Drosophila melanogaster: one gene and its partners. The protein of the gene in region 1 interacts with the protein of each later gene in a pairwise test. Each region holds a gene or a part of one and is shown in the gene's direction. Other genes may lie near its edges.

What was found.
Region 2: the proteins of Pdrg1 (region 1) and ECSIT interact in a two-hybrid assay, tested with the Drosophila melanogaster proteins (one large-scale study listed by BioGRID).
Region 3: the proteins of Pdrg1 (region 1) and CG6726 interact in a two-hybrid assay, tested with the Drosophila melanogaster proteins (one large-scale study listed by BioGRID).
Region 4: the proteins of Pdrg1 (region 1) and Prosbeta5R1 interact in a two-hybrid assay, tested with the Drosophila melanogaster proteins (one large-scale study listed by BioGRID).

What each region holds. Positions count from the first base shown.
Region 1 is NT_033778.4:9,958,591-9,961,607, reverse strand, and holds Pdrg1 (Pdrg1 prefoldin-like subunit), read left to right. Parts: upstream 1-1,875; 5' UTR 1,876-1,932; coding exon 1,933-2,164; intron 2,165-2,216; coding exon 2,217-2,383; 3' UTR 2,384-2,489; downstream 2,490-3,017. Other genes in the region: Pal1 (Peptidyl-alpha-hydroxyglycine-alpha-amidating lyase 1), read right to left, coding at 1-45, 605-845, 905-1,082, 1,306-1,407.
Region 2 is NT_033777.3:5,855,014-5,858,474, forward strand, and holds ECSIT (ECSIT), read left to right. Parts: upstream 1-1,571; 5' UTR 1,572-1,657; coding exon 1,658-2,887; 3' UTR 2,888-2,901; downstream 2,902-3,461. Other genes in the region: disp (dispatched), read right to left, coding at 1-338, 740-895; CG2017 (uncharacterized protein), read right to left, coding at 3,299-3,461. UniProt on the Drosophila melanogaster protein: As part of the MCIA complex, involved in the assembly of the mitochondrial complex I. Involved in the innate immune response; promotes the production of antibacterial peptides.
Region 3 is NT_033777.3:23,090,028-23,095,720, forward strand, and holds CG6726 (uncharacterized protein), read left to right. Parts: upstream 1-1,696; 5' UTR 1,697-1,729; intron 1,730-1,749; exon of another isoform or gene 1,750-1,835; 5' UTR 1,836-1,843; coding exon 1,844-1,934; intron 1,935-2,028; coding exon 2,029-2,520; intron 2,521-2,573; coding exon 2,574-2,991; intron 2,992-3,054; coding exon 3,055-3,259; 3' UTR 3,260-3,406; exon of another isoform or gene 3,407-3,432; intron 3,433-3,470; exon of another isoform or gene 3,471-3,473; 3' UTR 3,474-3,651; coding exon of another isoform or gene 3,652-3,748; intron 3,749-3,802; coding exon of another isoform or gene 3,803-4,294; intron 4,295-4,352; coding exon of another isoform or gene 4,353-4,767; intron 4,768-4,822; coding exon of another isoform or gene 4,823-5,027; 3' UTR 5,028-5,157; downstream 5,158-5,693. Other genes in the region: CG17110 (uncharacterized protein), read left to right, coding at 3,652-3,748, 3,803-4,294, 4,353-4,767, 4,823-5,027.
Region 4 is NT_033778.4:23,308,105-23,311,703, reverse strand, and holds Prosbeta5R1 (proteasome beta5 subunit-related 1), read left to right. Parts: upstream 1-1,887; 5' UTR 1,888-1,975; coding exon 1,976-2,125; intron 2,126-2,181; coding exon 2,182-2,979; 3' UTR 2,980-3,050; downstream 3,051-3,599.

The sequences.
Region 1 (3,017 bases):
ACGTTGTCTTCGGGGTCCACGGTCAGGCCATGTGGCATGTAAAAACTGTGTGTGAGATGGGATTTAATTAGGAAGGGCATACTTATAAGGCTGTAGAAGTACATTGCTATTCTAGTGATTACTTAAATTTAGATATGCCTTCAGAATTTCACAGCCGAAATTAAAATCTTACAAAATACTTTTGACTATGTGTTAGAACTTTTGAACTTACAAATGCAAAATGCTTTTACTACCGATTTAATTTAACTTCACCAGATAATTTAAACGAAAAATGAAGTAGGTATTATACAAACACAAAACAGCGCGGCCATAAATGAGTACTGAGAAAAATAAAGAACGATATCCTAGACAATCAGTTACCCGATACTCAACTAGTGGGGGTTCGGTGGAATTGTGGGCAGGGCTTAAATGTTTGTGGCATATTGATCGGACAGACGGAAATGGCCACATGGACTCGGAAGAAATGCTTCCTTCTACCTGTGCCTAGATTAGATTTCAACGAATGCAATACACACTTTGCTAACCTGCAAACTAGTATTTGCAATTAAATAAGCACTGGATAGAGCTACCTAAAGTACCGAACAAGGGAGTTACAATTTCTTACAAGTTCTTGCCCCAGTCGTATTGCACTTTGCCTGTTGCGGGCTCCAGTGCCAGGATGGTGCTCTCCCTGATGGGCCCGCGGTACTTCTCCTGGTACTGGTTCCTGTTATCAAATGTGGTCTGTCCCCAGACGCGATTCACGCGATGGAAGATTACCACGTTGCCGGCCTTGTCGAAACTTACAGCTGTCACTGCACCCAGTTTCACATTGTTTGCCGGCCAGGCGTTCTGGTAAACGTAAGCTGGGGATCGAGTTTTAGTGAATTACACGGTGTGCATTTGTAAAAATACGCCAACTCACTGTTGTTTAGCTTGGCCAGCTCAGTCTTGACGTTGGGGACAGTTTGCTTCGGAGGCTGTGGCCAGTTGAGCTGCGTGGCTCCCGATCCTGCTCCGGATCCCTTGAGTATCTGGTGCAGGCGTTCGTTGTTGTTGCTATTGCTGTCCACATTATGCAGATAACGCTGTGGACTTTGAGTCTGAAATGGGGGATTGAGATTAAGATTAAGCCTCTAGGTGAAGCAAAATAATTGCCACGGAGCACGGCGCCCACGCACACATGCGAAGTACACACTACTGCAAAATCAATATGCTAAACATATGTGCGCGCACTGCAAACATATGTTTCCTTGGGTCAAGCAGCGACTTGGGACTTGTAAACTCCTCAACCTGGAAATGCTTTGTTTATCGCTCGGGATTTACCTGCGACACTGCTGGTCTAATGCAGAGTAGGAGGTGGAGGAGCAGGCAACAGATTGCCAAGGACTTGCTGCCCAGGCACTTGGCGCTGTCGGTGGATTTCATTGCTTTGGTGTCCCTTCGAATGTATATATATAGCTGCCCGAATGCTGGCGGAGATCCAGTCCGGCGTAGTTGTGCTCGTAAACAAACGTCTCGTCTCGTTTTGGAACTACAAATCAACTTATGACGCGGCCATCTTTGCTTGCGATTGAGATGTTATTTGTTCAGCGGCGCAGGTAGAATGTGTGTTTACAGGGGCTCAATGTTATGCAGTTATGCTGTGCTATAATGTAACCATATTTGGTTACAAGCGCTCTATTGATATTTTGAATGAATGAATTATCAATACGTCAAAACTGATTAAATTGAAATGCAAGCGGTGGTTTCTTACAATAGGAAGAATATTAACAGGTTAACAGTTAAATGTTTCCTCATACAGTTAGCATGTAAAATGAATCCCTCTTCTATGATGCGCCCCTGATCGAACAGCTGTTTAAGAGGCGTTAGTACGTTTTCGGGTCTCACTTCTTCACTTTTGTTTACTTCCGTGTTTTTAGCAAATCTGTTTGAAGAAATATCATTTGCAAAATGTCGCAAACAGATCTGAACAAAAGTATTGAGATAATAACCAAGACCGAGGAGTTGGCCGACAAAATTCTGGTCAACAAGCAGGAACTGACGGTAATGGATAAACGCCGCCAAGAAACCCGGCAGGCAATGCGGCTGATGGAGAAGTCGGAGGACAAGAAAGTTTGGATCACTATTGGCAGTATGCTAGTCAAAATGGAGCGGGAAAAGGCATTGGAACTGCTCAAAAAAGGTGGGTAACTGCTCGTCCACTACATGCTATTATTAACTATAATTTCTGACAGATCAACAGAAAATAGAACAGCAAATCAATCTGATATACTCAGATCAGAAAGTTCTGGTGAACAAACATCGCGATTTGGAGTTCAAATCGCCCTTCTCGGGTACACATCTTAAGCCCTTAGAAAAGAAGGAGTTCGACGCTCTGAAAGCAAATCTCCCATTACTGTGAAAATCTTCATTTAAGTAAATTTTAGTGACCTAAACCTTGAATGCAACATGACCCAAAAAAAGATCCGCATTAGCGAGGTATATAAAGTAAACAATTTTGTATTAATAACCTTACATATGTTGTTTATTTGCTACTAAATTCATTGCAGTCCAATACATATGGTATACAAATTGGCAGTTAAATGGCTTTAGATTCCGCTTAGTTGCCTATAAAAACTAGTGCATTTGCCTGGAAATTTTTTAAATTAAAGATTTTAATTTTTTAAGCTGGCGCCAGGAAAGTATCGCATAGGAACCACAATCGATATATCTCCAAACTGCCATCGCCAGGTGTGACCATGCTGCTGGCTGAGTGTGACCCATCCGCTCAAAGCTCCCGCAGCACATTTGTTGTAGCGCTCCGCCGTTGTTGACTTGTTTCGTCGTAGGCTCCGATTGGACCGATCTGATCAGACTTTGAATCGATCGCATTGATTTCGAAACGCAGACTCTTAATCGCGAACTAGCCGAATGCACAAGATCAGGTCGAAAACACGCTGACAAATTAATTATATACACTAAAAACCTGCGAAAACGTGCGCTCTTACGTCGGCCGTGTGAGTGCGTGTGTGTGGTGCGCTCTTCTCTCAACCGCC
Region 2 (3,461 bases), on another chromosome or scaffold:
TCCCCGATCCAGGTGTCAAAGCCGAGATTTGGAGAGGGAGAACTAGTAGCCTTCAGCCGTTTTTTGAACTGCATCATCTTCTGCGCCACATCGTGATGCTCGTGGCTGCTTTGATTTTGTTCCTTGCGTCGCTTGTTCTTGTTTCTGTTCTTGTGCTTGTTTTTGCGTCGCCTGTGATTCGGATGCAGCTTCGTCTCCACATAGCCCTGCTCTACCCGTCTCCTCTCCCACAGATCCGATGGATTTGAGAAAAGAGCACCATGGTGGTCAGTCTCTTGCAGCAGGTTGTACCAGGCCGTCAGTCGTTCTCCAATTTTGGTGCCGCGGGTTTCGAAGCCCTAAAGTGAAATAAATGTTGAATCATAAATATTAATCATGACAAATAATCACATTATAAAGTGATCAAATAAGTCATATTAGTGAGAAATTAATCTTATTATTTTCCACAATTTTTACAACAATAACATAATAACAATGAAAATATAATACAGGAATAGTTTGTATACAAGTAATCCTGTAGTTTCTTATAGCAATTCTGTGAATATTTAAAATATTTTAACTTCTTAATATTTAAAAAAAATAGATATATAACGAAATTTAAATAAAATAATATCATTTAGACATTTTCGGATTATTTCCATGTGCTCAATATTTTAAAAAATAATTGTAAAATAAGATAAGATATATTCTCCAAATATCAAGCAGTGAACATGTTTTGGACAAATCTAATAGGACAAACCAAGGTGGGATCACTGAAGTCCGGCAGCTTGTTCAGGACGAGGGCCACGATGATGCAAGCGACACAGTAGACAGCAATGGAGACGACCACCAGGTAGGGACGCCTGGCCAGGACGTGGTAGTACCAGTTCATCCTCTCCGAGTCGAAGCACAACATGTCAGTAGAATGTGATGCCCGAATCCTCTTTACCCTCTTCGCATTGCGGGAACATCAAATGCTCCTTGGGTTTCCGCTTCCCTTCAGTGCATCCTTGGCGGCTGGAAGTCTCGAATAACGTTGGGCTGGTGGGTGCTCCTTGGGACCAAGCCAAAGTCTATTGTTTTGCTTCTGTTATAGATACTGCCTGCTGGTCAGGCCTCCGCCGCAGAGATCGGCTTGTTGGATTGCATTTTTATGTAGGCGCGCGCCCGTGCAAATAACTCAGGGTTCGGAACTAACTTAAACAACAGAAAAACAACCGAAAACTATGCGAATAAGGATAACGCAGAAAACGGTGAAATAACAACAAAAAGCAGCACAAAGGATACACTGAGTTAATACAGTGTTGAGCAACTCAGTCACCAGTGATGATGGCCCTAAGCCAGACAAACAGCTGTTCTCCGAAGGAAGAGATTCGTGAAGGTAGTCACAATGAGCTTATGCAATATTCACTTCAACTTTTGTTACTAGCGTATGACTTTAAGCGTGTATTACGGTCATGACACTATTTAAGCTTGAAAATCTTTGGGTACAGCCGAAACTAAATACAATTTTTCGCCCTAGAATTTACCAAATTTGGCTAAATACGCTAGACTATCGGCACTATTAAAACATATGTTGCAGCAGCAGTGCTGCAAAACGCGAACTAGTTCCGCAGCTTGTGCAATGTTTTGTAATCGTATTTGCAAATTTATTCAATTAATTAATTATAAATAAAAAATGCTGCGCCGCGCACAATGCCTGCTCCGGCTGCACGGCAATGGAGGCCATTCGCTGGTCAGCCGCTTTCGAAACTACGCTACGGACGAGGGAAATCCGAAACAGAACCCGAATCCAAATCCCAGGGCACAAAAACCCGGCACCAAAAACCTGCCGGCTTTAAGGAACCCCTTTGCCGCCGCCCAGGACAGGACGAAAAACAGCTACCTGACCATGGTGGAGATATTCCAGGAGCGCGACGTCCACCGTCGGAACCATGTGGAGTTCATCTACGCGGCACTCAAGAATATGGCGGATTTCGGGGTGGAAAGAGACTTGGAGGTCTACAAGGCCCTGATCAACGTGATGCCCAAGGGCAAGTTCATACCCACCAACATGTTCCAGGCAGAGTTCATGCACTACCCCAAACAGCAGCAGTGTATCATTGATCTGCTTGAGCAGATGGAAGATTGCGGGGTGATGCCCGATCACGAGATGGAGGCGATGCTGCTTAATGTGTTTGGCAGGCAGGGACATCCACTGCGCAAGTATTGGCGCATGATGTACTGGATGCCAAAGTTTAAGAACCTATCACCGTGGCCACTGCCCGATCCTGTTCCGGATGATACATTGGAAATGGCCAAGCTGGCGCTAGAGCGGATGTGCACGGTCGACCTGCGGTCCAAAATCACGGTTTTCGAGACCAGCGAGCTGAAGGATGCCATTGACGATACGTGGATCGTGAGCGGAATGAGTCCCGAGCAGGAGAAACTGCTGCGGGAGCACTCTCGCCAGAAAGCTCTGTACATCGAGGGACCCTTTCACATATGGCTTAGGAATCGCCGGATCAACTACTTTACCCTGCGCGCTGATGCAGATTCTGAGTTCCTGTCTGAATTAGATGAGCGGCAGCTGGACGAGGACGATGTCTCCCACATCGAAGTACCCTTCTTTGGTCGTGCTCCACCAAGGCGACACAACCAGCTGGGAAAGCTGCGCTCTGTCCACCAACAGGACGACGGAACCATTATGGCCATCTGTGCCACAGGCACCTCCACAAAGGACTCATTGCTCTCGTGGATTCGCCTGTTGGAAGCGAACGGAAATCCCTCCATAGGAGAGGTGCCCGTCCTCTTCCGGTTCACATCCGAAGTGCCAGCCAAGGCGGAGGAAATTGAAGGTGGCGCCAGTGTCCCGGCAACAAGTGATAACAGTAGTCAAGATGAGCACATTAGCAGTAGACAGAAATAAACAAATTGTTGAGCACTTTTTCGTCTTTGTATACCATAGAATTGATGGTAAATGTTGCTTAAAGTTAGTCGGTTTTGATCATATGTACATATATATGTACATCTGCTAGAAGGAAAAAAATTAATACTTCGGTAATTATTTATACTCTTTGGCTCGGACGCGAATTGAAAGCAACATTGTATGCATTTTGGGGTGGATTTTAATGAAATAAGGTTAATTGAGAAGGATTACTCACAACATCCGATTGTGAGCCGAGCTTAAACGAAAAATCACAGAACCCGAAACTAAGTGTACAGAAGATCTGCCTAAGATTTAACGCCTCCCTCTAATTGCTAATTAAGTATATGTACATGTCATCTTTGTTTGAGATATATAGATATGTCATTGGAACTATCCATCTGGCCCGCTTCTCTACTTTATGCCTGTCTTGTTGACCGGAAACACCTGCGTGACAACTCCGATTCCTTTGCTGGTGCCCTCGCGGAACAGGATGCGCATTCCAGGACGCACGTACTCCGGGTGGCCGACGAACTCGAACATCACCGAAGCACAATCGTTTGTGCCCAGTCGCTCG
Region 3 (5,693 bases), on another chromosome or scaffold:
GCTCGAACAAAAGGAAATGTACGCTCTGGGCCGAGGGATATGGTAAATGGTAAATGGCAGAGGAGGATTATATCAGTTCTCTCGCTTTTATTTTTTTTTTTTGCTTTTTTTGGCCAGGTAATGCGCCCATAACGGATTAGGCGATATCCTCGGGGTTCCATCTCTGCAGTTCTGCAGGTTTTGGGTGCTCAACGCAAACAGTTTCCGGCGTTGCCCGGATAATTGTTACAATATACAAAATTTTCATTTAGTTTATTTGCCCAGCGACAACATGTCAGCTCAGCAGCAACATCAGCAAACAACAAACAGGCGCGCCCCCAAGTCACCACCATGGGCGAAAAGTGAATAATTTGGCATCAGATAAGTAGATTCGTGTTTTACTCGACTAAGAATGAACTACTTTAGCCTCTGTACAGACTTATAGACTCTATTCTAGGGACATTACATTCGAATTATGCCAAAAACTTGCCATTTTGGCCCATTGTGCAGCTGAACGAGTGTTTGTGCGCAGGAAACTTGTGTATTTATTTGACTTATGTGACGCTGTAAATGGGGAGAGTACGAGTTTGTACGAATGTGGGGCTTGGATGTTATTTAAAATGCAGACATGTGTAGCCTGTAGTTGCTGCTATTGCTGCTGGTGCGCCATTAAAATCCCAGCAACATTGTTAATGAACTTTTAATGACTTTTTGTGAGTACACACACTAAAACAATATCAACTTTGGCCTAGCAGGGTGTGTATGCGACACAAATCAGAGGGCTTTGGTTTTGTGTATTTTTTTTGGCCCAACCACCTTTTTTTCTGTATGGGAACAAGCGTGAAATCTAAATGCGAAACTAACTTTTGACACACTACTGGGACAACAGACGCAGTGCAGCAAAGTCGGCAAGTGCAGCAGGAACACTATTAATATGCGAAATTTGAATTGGATTCGAGTGGCTGAAAGGCCCGAGGAGGGGCAACTTGTTTACCCGGAAGCCCACTGGGCGTGTGGTGCGAACGTGTGCAGTGCATCTTGATTAACAAATCAACTGGAATTGGAATGCGATTGCATGCGATTCATCAGTAATCGGAAATCTTGGCTGCGGGCCAAATGGGGTCACCATCAATCCAGCAATCCTGCAGTCCTGTTACCCCCAAAGCAATGCGAAGCACCTTCGCCTCCATTTAAGGCAAATAAATCCATCAGCCAGGGGGAATCCCAAGTAAATGAGCCTTAAAGTGGGTTCATATGTACCGGAAAGTGATGGAAGAATGTTCACCAATACATGGAGTGGAATCCCTACCAATTGGGATGGTACAGAAATAGAGTTCCACTCCTTGTGCTATGAGCTGCAAAATTCAGTTTAATTTATAAATAATGCAGTACAAGATAGAAATTACTATTAGGGGATGTCTCTTTTGTAATCAATTGAATTTTTGAGTGCTGGATATTAAATTCATCAAATTAGTTTCTCATATAGAAATGGGAAGACACGAATATTATTAATGACGGAAGCAATTGTTAACTGCAAGTCATTTGTACTGAAAAGTAGATTAGCCATCTAAAAAGTAAACAAATGCGTAAGATAAAACAGTTTATAGGCAGCACCGTATGATAAGAAATTAGGTTTAGTTCCTTCTCGGATTTATTATCATGCCCTCTCTTTCGCTCGCTTATCGCTGATATTTAAACGCGCGCTTCTCTCCACGATCGCACAGTCGTCGTCGAGCCAGTGTTGCGAAAGGTGTGTTGTGTGTCTGCTCTCCGCTGTGGTGAAGTGTCGATCAGCTGATTTCAGCAAACAATTTAATTGATTTGTTATCAGCCGGCTAATTATTTACATTTTATAGAGTGCAAAATGAGTACAGCCAAGTGGGAGAACAACGAGGAGATTAAGATCTTTCGCGAATATCTTCGCATACCAACGGTGCATCCAAATGTGGATTACAGTGAGTTCCAATGGGCATGTATATCTTTATGAGGCTGCGATAAGAGTACCCTGATCTTTATGACCTTGCCATAAAATGTGTCTGCTATTTATAGCCGTTTGCACGGAATTCTTGAAACGCCAGGCTGCCAGCTTGGACCTGCCCGTGGAGGTTATCTATCCGGTGAACGAGCAGAATCCCGTGGTGGTGCTAAAATGGCAGGGTTCCCAGCCGGAACTGCCCTCCATCATTCTCAATTCGCACACGGATGTAGTGCCCGTTTTTGAGGAGAAGTGGACACACGGTCCATTCAGCGCGGATCTAGATGCAGAGGGTCGCATCTTTGCGCGCGGATCGCAGGACATGAAGTGCGTGGGCACCCAATATCTGGGAGCTGTGCGTGCCCTCAAGGCCAGTGGCTATCAACCCAAGAGGACGATCTATCTCACTTATGTTCCGGACGAGGAGGTTGGCGGCCACCTGGGCATGCGGGAGCTGGTAAAGAGCGACTACTTCAAGAAGCTCAATGTGGGATTCAGTTTCGACGAGGGAATCTCTAGTGCGGATGAAACCTACGCTCTGTACTACGCTGAACGGACTCTTTGGCGTGAGTAGGATTGACTCATACAAACAATTTAAGCTAGCCATGTTTTCCTGCAGATCTTCGTTTCAAGATCAGCGGAACTGCTGGTCACGGATCACTGTTGCTCCCGAATACTGCTGGCGAGAAGCTGAACTATGTGGTAGGCAAAATGATGGAGTTCCGCAAATCGCAAGTGCAAAAACTAGCTGACGACTCATCCCTCGAAATTGGTGATGTGACCACTGTGAATCTCACCCAACTGAGGGGCGGAGTCCAGAGCAACGTGGTTCCCCCATTGCTGGAAGCTGTATTTGATATCCGCATTGCCGTCACCGTGGATATCCCTGCCTTTGAGAAGCAGATTCGCGACTGGTGCGAGGAGGCTGGCGGCGGCATTGAACTGGAGTTTGAGATGAAAAACCCCTTTGTGGAGCCAACAAAGATTGACTCGTCGAATGCCTACTGGCTGGCCTTTAAGAAAGCACTCGATGACCTGTAAGGATGAGAAGCTCTGACAAAAGGCATGGCTCTGATATCCTTTCTCCTTGTTTCTTTCAGTGGCCTCAAGACACGGGTTCGTGTTTTCCCCGGCGCCACGGACAGTCGTTATATTCGCTACGCAGGCATTCCAGCTCTAGGATTCTCGCCCATTAACAACACCCCCATCCTGCTGCACGACCACGATGAATTCCTGAAAGCCGATACCTATTTGCACGGCATTGAGGTTTACAAGAAGCTCATTCCTGCCGTAGCTGATGCTTAGCGAACTCAATTCAATTATGAAATAATGCATTTAATGCTTACTTGTCGATGTTTATTGTAATAACTTTAAACAAGCAGGCTTATAAAAACCCATTTAAATAAACAATGTATGAATAAATAAGCCAGTCCATAGTCCATACCATTAATGGTGAGCAAAAAAAGGAAATTTAAATGAAAATGAATAAGTTTATGGTTTACTATTATGGCTTTGCTAGATAACATTAAGCTCTTAGCGCAAAGATGAAAATCCGCAAATTGTGGGCTCTTCTAATCAAGTAGCTTAAAGTCAACAACTGATAATGCCATTAAGTCAATCCACACTCAGACTTCAAACCAAACAGCACGGTGGATTACAAGTCAGTTCCTTTAGAACCACGGGGCATTCAACTCAAAATGTGCACTTGCACGGAACAATGGAAGAACGACGAGGAAATAATCATTTTCCAGGAGTATTTGCGCATTCCCTCGGTGCATCCAGACGTGGACTACAGTAAGGATTTGTTTTTCCGCTCCTTGGATTTTGTTATCCCTATTTCCCTTGCAGCTGCATGCGTGGAGTTCCTAAAACGCCAGGCTAACAAACTTAATCTCCGCGTGGACGTGGTGTATCCTGTTGTGCCTTCGAAACCGGTGGTGATTATGAAGTGGCTGGGCAAGCATCCCGAGCTGAAATCCATTATATTGAACTCACACATGGACGTGGTGCCCGTGTTTCCCGAAAAGTGGACCCATGAGCCGTTTGGTGCCCACATAGACGCCCAAGGCCGGATTTATGCACGCGGTGCCCAGGACATGAAGTCCGTGGGATGTCAGTACATGGCTGCGGTCCGTGCACTCAAAGCCAGTGGCTATCAGCCAAAAAGGACCGTATATTTGACTTTTGTGCCCGACGAGGAAACTGGCGGACACATGGGCATGGCTGAATTCGTCAAGGGTGATTACTTCAAAGCCATGAATGTGGGCTTTAGCCTGGACGAGGGCATCGCCAGTGAAGATGACACTTATCCTGTATTTTACGCCGAGCGTACATTGTGGCGTAAGTCTTCCATTTGCATCAGTAGCAATATATTCTGATTCATTTTATACCCCTGCAGAACTTCGATTTAAATTCAGTGGCACTTCAGGTCATGGATCGCTGCTGCACAAAAGCACGGCTGGCGAAAAGTTTCACTTTGTGATGGATAAGCTGATGAAGTTCCGAGAAACCCAGGTCAAGCTACTGGCCGAGGACTCCTCCTTGCAGTCCGGTGATGTGACCACTTTGAACCTGACCCAACTCAACGGTGGCGTCCAAAGCAATGTGGTTCCCCCCGTACTAGAAGCCACTTTTGATATTCGCATAGCCATCAACCAGAATGCCGATGCAATGGAGAATCAGATTCGCGAGTGGTGCAACGAAGTCGGTGGTGGAGTGGAACTGGATTTCACGCTGAAGTGCCCCTCGGTGGTGACCAAGATAGACGACTCCAATCCCTACTGGCTGGGCTTCAAAAAGGGACTAGATGAACTGTAGGTAAACAAAGATTGTGTAGTTTTCACTTCATAATTTGTTGAAATTTTCCAGAGGTTTGATCACCCATACACGAGTTTTCCCCGGCGCCACCGATAGCTTCTACGTCCGGCAAGTGGGAATTCCCGCTCTGGGATTTTCACCCATCAACAACACCCCGGTGCTGCTGCACAATCATGATGAATATTTGCGGGCCGACACATATCTGCACGGAATTCAGGTGTACAGGAAGCTCATCCCCTCTATTGCTGATTCATAAAATGTTCAAGCGAAGTTCCACTCATAAATGGAAATCAATATGCTACAATTGGTCTTATCGCTTATGAGTAATGTTTTTGGCTCGATGAGTGTAGGACCAAAATTAAATGTTTAAATGGTGTGACTACTACAAATCATATCTGTTTCTAAACAAATGAAAATCACACACTGATAACACGAGTTTCAGAAGAGAGTTTTTGTCATGGACTTTGCCCTCATTCAATATCCAATAAATCGTCACAACTATTGATATCGTTCTCAAAAACTAACGTAACCTTCACGTAAAGGGGTTGTATTTTATATATACATCATAATTATCAATAATTACATTAATATGTATTCTATTTTCTTATCAAACCAAATACAAATTATAATAACCCATTTTTTCGCAGACCATAAACGACGGTGGTTGAGTTTTATTGGTGTTATGTGAACTTTATCGAATTGGCTACCGTTTGCTATTAGACATTTGTTTTGGTAGAATTTTGTACAAGAATATGTGCTGTTATCATTTCTATAACAACCGAGTTTGATAACGAACTCATTATTTGATAATAATACGAAGCCAAGGCCATAAAACCAAAATCACCCAACACACAAAAATTTCTGTATAAGTTCATTTTTTGCCAACTGCGGCACATTCGAGTTTGGTGACTGGCAGCGAAAA
Region 4 (3,599 bases), about 13 Mb from region 1:
TTACGTGCGCCTTAGTTGAATTTTATTTTAACAATTCTCGGCGGAGTTTCGTTTTTGTAATTCGAGAGCTTAAAAAGAAACTCTTTGAAAAGATTCGGGGAATATTCCTAAGCTTGTCAACAAGGTGGTTTATTTTTTATTACTCAGCAAAGTTGCCTAAGTGGATTGAGAGCAAAGTTATTCAATGTTTAGTGTCTATTAAGCAACTCGCTCATCTTGCATAGTTCATCTATTGTATAATAAGGCTCATGTGATTTCAAATTGTAAATAATTAAGAACTATGCACCGAATAAAAGGCTATTATTTTGGCTCTCAACTAAATCCGATGCCACAAAATCGTGCTCTTGGTCCAGCGCTGCAACGATTCGCAGACGGGAAGCTCAAGTTTGGCCTAATCTCTTATTCGCTCTTGACTTGGCGTCATTTTAGTCATTAAAACAGGTTCAGACTGAGTAATCTGCCAGCCACTTCAGGCCAAAAGCGAAGGGAATGGCCAGATTCTTCCACTACGCTGCCTTAGTTAGTTGCCCTCTAATAAACTGGCAGCGGAAATTTTTAACAAGTTGTTGCCAGTGCACAAAACTGGGCTGTAATTAACGCAGGACAGATGCCGCGCAGGGCAGGGAGGGGGAAATGGGGATTCGGGATGCAGGATGATGGTGGCCAGGAGGAGCTGGTGGAGTAGCATCGTCTGGGTTAGACGAGATTTTGCATATCAGATTGCTGCCCCGGCTCCAGTTTGTCCCTGCCCTGTGATTTAATAATCAGAGCTGGCTGTCAAAACTATCCAGCAACTGCAGCGCTGCGAAAGAATTGTCATATTTGTTGATAAGCTGAATACCCTACAGCAATCTAAAGTTTATATAATAAATATATACAAAATATACCGACAAACCTTAAGTATCCAATTGGATACTTAAATAATACTTAATACTAATACTTAGACTTAACATTTAGATAGTCCAGTAAACTATTATGCTTCGTGACCAATAAAATAACAGTGAGTGGTTTCATGTACTCATAGTTAGGGTATGTTTGGATGAAGGGCTTAGCCAGCTCGTTTCTTTTGCCTCGATTTTTCCTTTCCAGCCCGCCTTTCTCCGAATTGCTTCCGCCCCCTTAGTTTTCCATTCGAAGGGCGGGGGGAATGCAGGCTGCAATGGAAAGCGCGTGCAAAAATGAAATGTGCCAATGTGGCGGATGGGAGATGCGGAATGGGGAATGGGAAATGGAATTCGGTGGTTTGGGGAATGCGGAGGCCAAGTCCTCGGCAATTTGCATAAATTTAGATCAGTGACACATGGCGTCCACTAATGGAGGCAGTGGGAGCAGCCGGAGTGACTGCGACTGCCACTGGGATGGGACATATATCACGGGGGGTATCAGGCCAGTCGACCCGCGGACTCAAACAGTTTGGCAAACATTGCCAATTGGCCTTTAATTAGCGGCTAATCCGTTTGCCACCGCCTGCGAGTGGGCGTGGTCACTGCGAAAGCACCTTCTATGCCATTCCCCACTCGTTTTGGTCCCAATTTCGCATCTCGGCAGGTGGCGATGATGACCCTGCCCGGCAGTCCAATTAAAATGTCGTGTATCTCTGCGGTGGCGCCACTGCCACTGCCACTGCCACTGCCCACAGAAGGTCCATTGGATTCCACTTGGGTGGCCGGCGAAAGTGCCGCTGCGACCACTCTCACCCACTAACCATGAAATGCCAATGGAATCGGAGACTGCGAATTGCCGCTGCGGATTGTCCAGTGGAGCGAAACTTTCAAGCGGAATGCGATATTTTGATGGGAACAAGATGTCCAGCTTTCTGATCTTGTGATCTTGTTTTGATTAAAGTACATTTTTGATACACTTGTAAGATGCCTTAGAGACTTAACTCCACAATCATTCGAGCTCGTTTAGTGTGCTCATTTACACATTACACTAAACTATTTATTGGAAATAATAAACTCTTTTTGAACACATAATGGCTCTGGAAGCGATTTGCGGCATGAATAAAATGCCTTTTATGCGGCGCTTCGATGACTTGCAGTCCGAATGGCAGAAGGAGCAGCTTCGCGAGGCAACCAGTAATTTTGAGAATCCCTACGAACTGATGGCGCCTCCCTTCGAAAGAGTTAGTATAGGTTTCATAATCCAAAAGATCCATCTAAGATTGAAACTCTTCTCAAGCCCGCTGAAAATCTGCCCAAGATCCTGTCGCACTGTGGCATTCGCATGGATTTCGATCACGGCACCACCACTCTGGGTTTCAAGTATCGCGGAGGAGTGATTCTGTGTGCTGATTCTAGGGCCACCTCTGGCCAGTATATTGGATCCCAGACGATGAGGAAAATAGTCGAGCTGAACGACTATATGCTGGGCACATTGGCCGGCGGAGCCGCCGATTGCGTCTACTGGGATCGGGTTTTGGCTAAGGAGTGTCGCCTGCACCAGCTGCGCTATCGGAAACGCATGACCGTGGACACGGCTGCCCGGATCATCTGCAACATATCCACGGAGTACAAGGGCATGGGTCTGGTGATGGGCATGATGCTGGCCGGCTTCGACGACGAGGGACCCAAGCTGATTTACGTGGACTCGGAGGGCATGAGATCCCATGGTCAAGTCTTCTCCGTGGGCAGCGGTTCTCCATATGCGCTCGGCGTATTGGACACTGGGTACCGCTATGATCTCTCCGATCAGGAGGCCTATGACCTGGCCAGGCGAGCGATTTACCATGCGACCAGTAAGGATGCCTATTCTGGTGGAATCGTGCGTCTCTACCACATTCATTCGGAGGGCTGGCGAAATATCTGCAATACGGACTGCTCCGATCTCCATGACTCGTATTGCGCATCTGGGTGTCCGGGGAACGAGAAGGATGTAGGAAACGTAGGCGATCCCGACAATGATAAGCCCTGTTCCAGTGGCTGGACGAAGAAGAATATCACAGCAGACAATTTGCAGACTAAGCTGGCAACGGTATGAAAATTTGGAAATTATTGGAGCAACATTAGCAAAAATTTCTGTGGAAGTAAAACTTCTGTCGTGCAAAACGTATAAAGTGTTAGTGTTTATGGTAATGGGAATTTGTGGCAGTGAAGAAGTCCGGAATTTATCGTGAGAATAGTTTTCCGAACCGTATGCTGGATTGTTCTATCTAATCCTCTTCAGTTCTAAAAGCACACATACAGATACATTTCAAAGTTTTAGCCACTAATAATGAAAACAAGAGCTGCATACATACAAATGCCTTTCGCCCCGCACTCGCCACACTTTAAAAGCTGTGCTTCTATCTAATTTTTTTCACTCCTCAAACTCCCCTCTCTTCCATCCTCCACTGCGGAAAATATACGAGCAACTTTCGCTCGCTAAACGAACTTTTCCTATAAATCAAAATAATAACTTCTAAGCTCGCAATGACTTTCCCCAAATGGGCGTGCCGCACACAAAATACGGCCAACGAAATGTTCGCCGAAATGTTGCACTCCGTGTCTTTGGGTTGTCATCAACAAATGTTGCAGATGCCACTGCCTGGAGACTCCGTCCGGGGGATCTGCTCCTCACTGCCCATCCCCTCCCCCTCCCCCGCCGGAAAAGCGCAACCG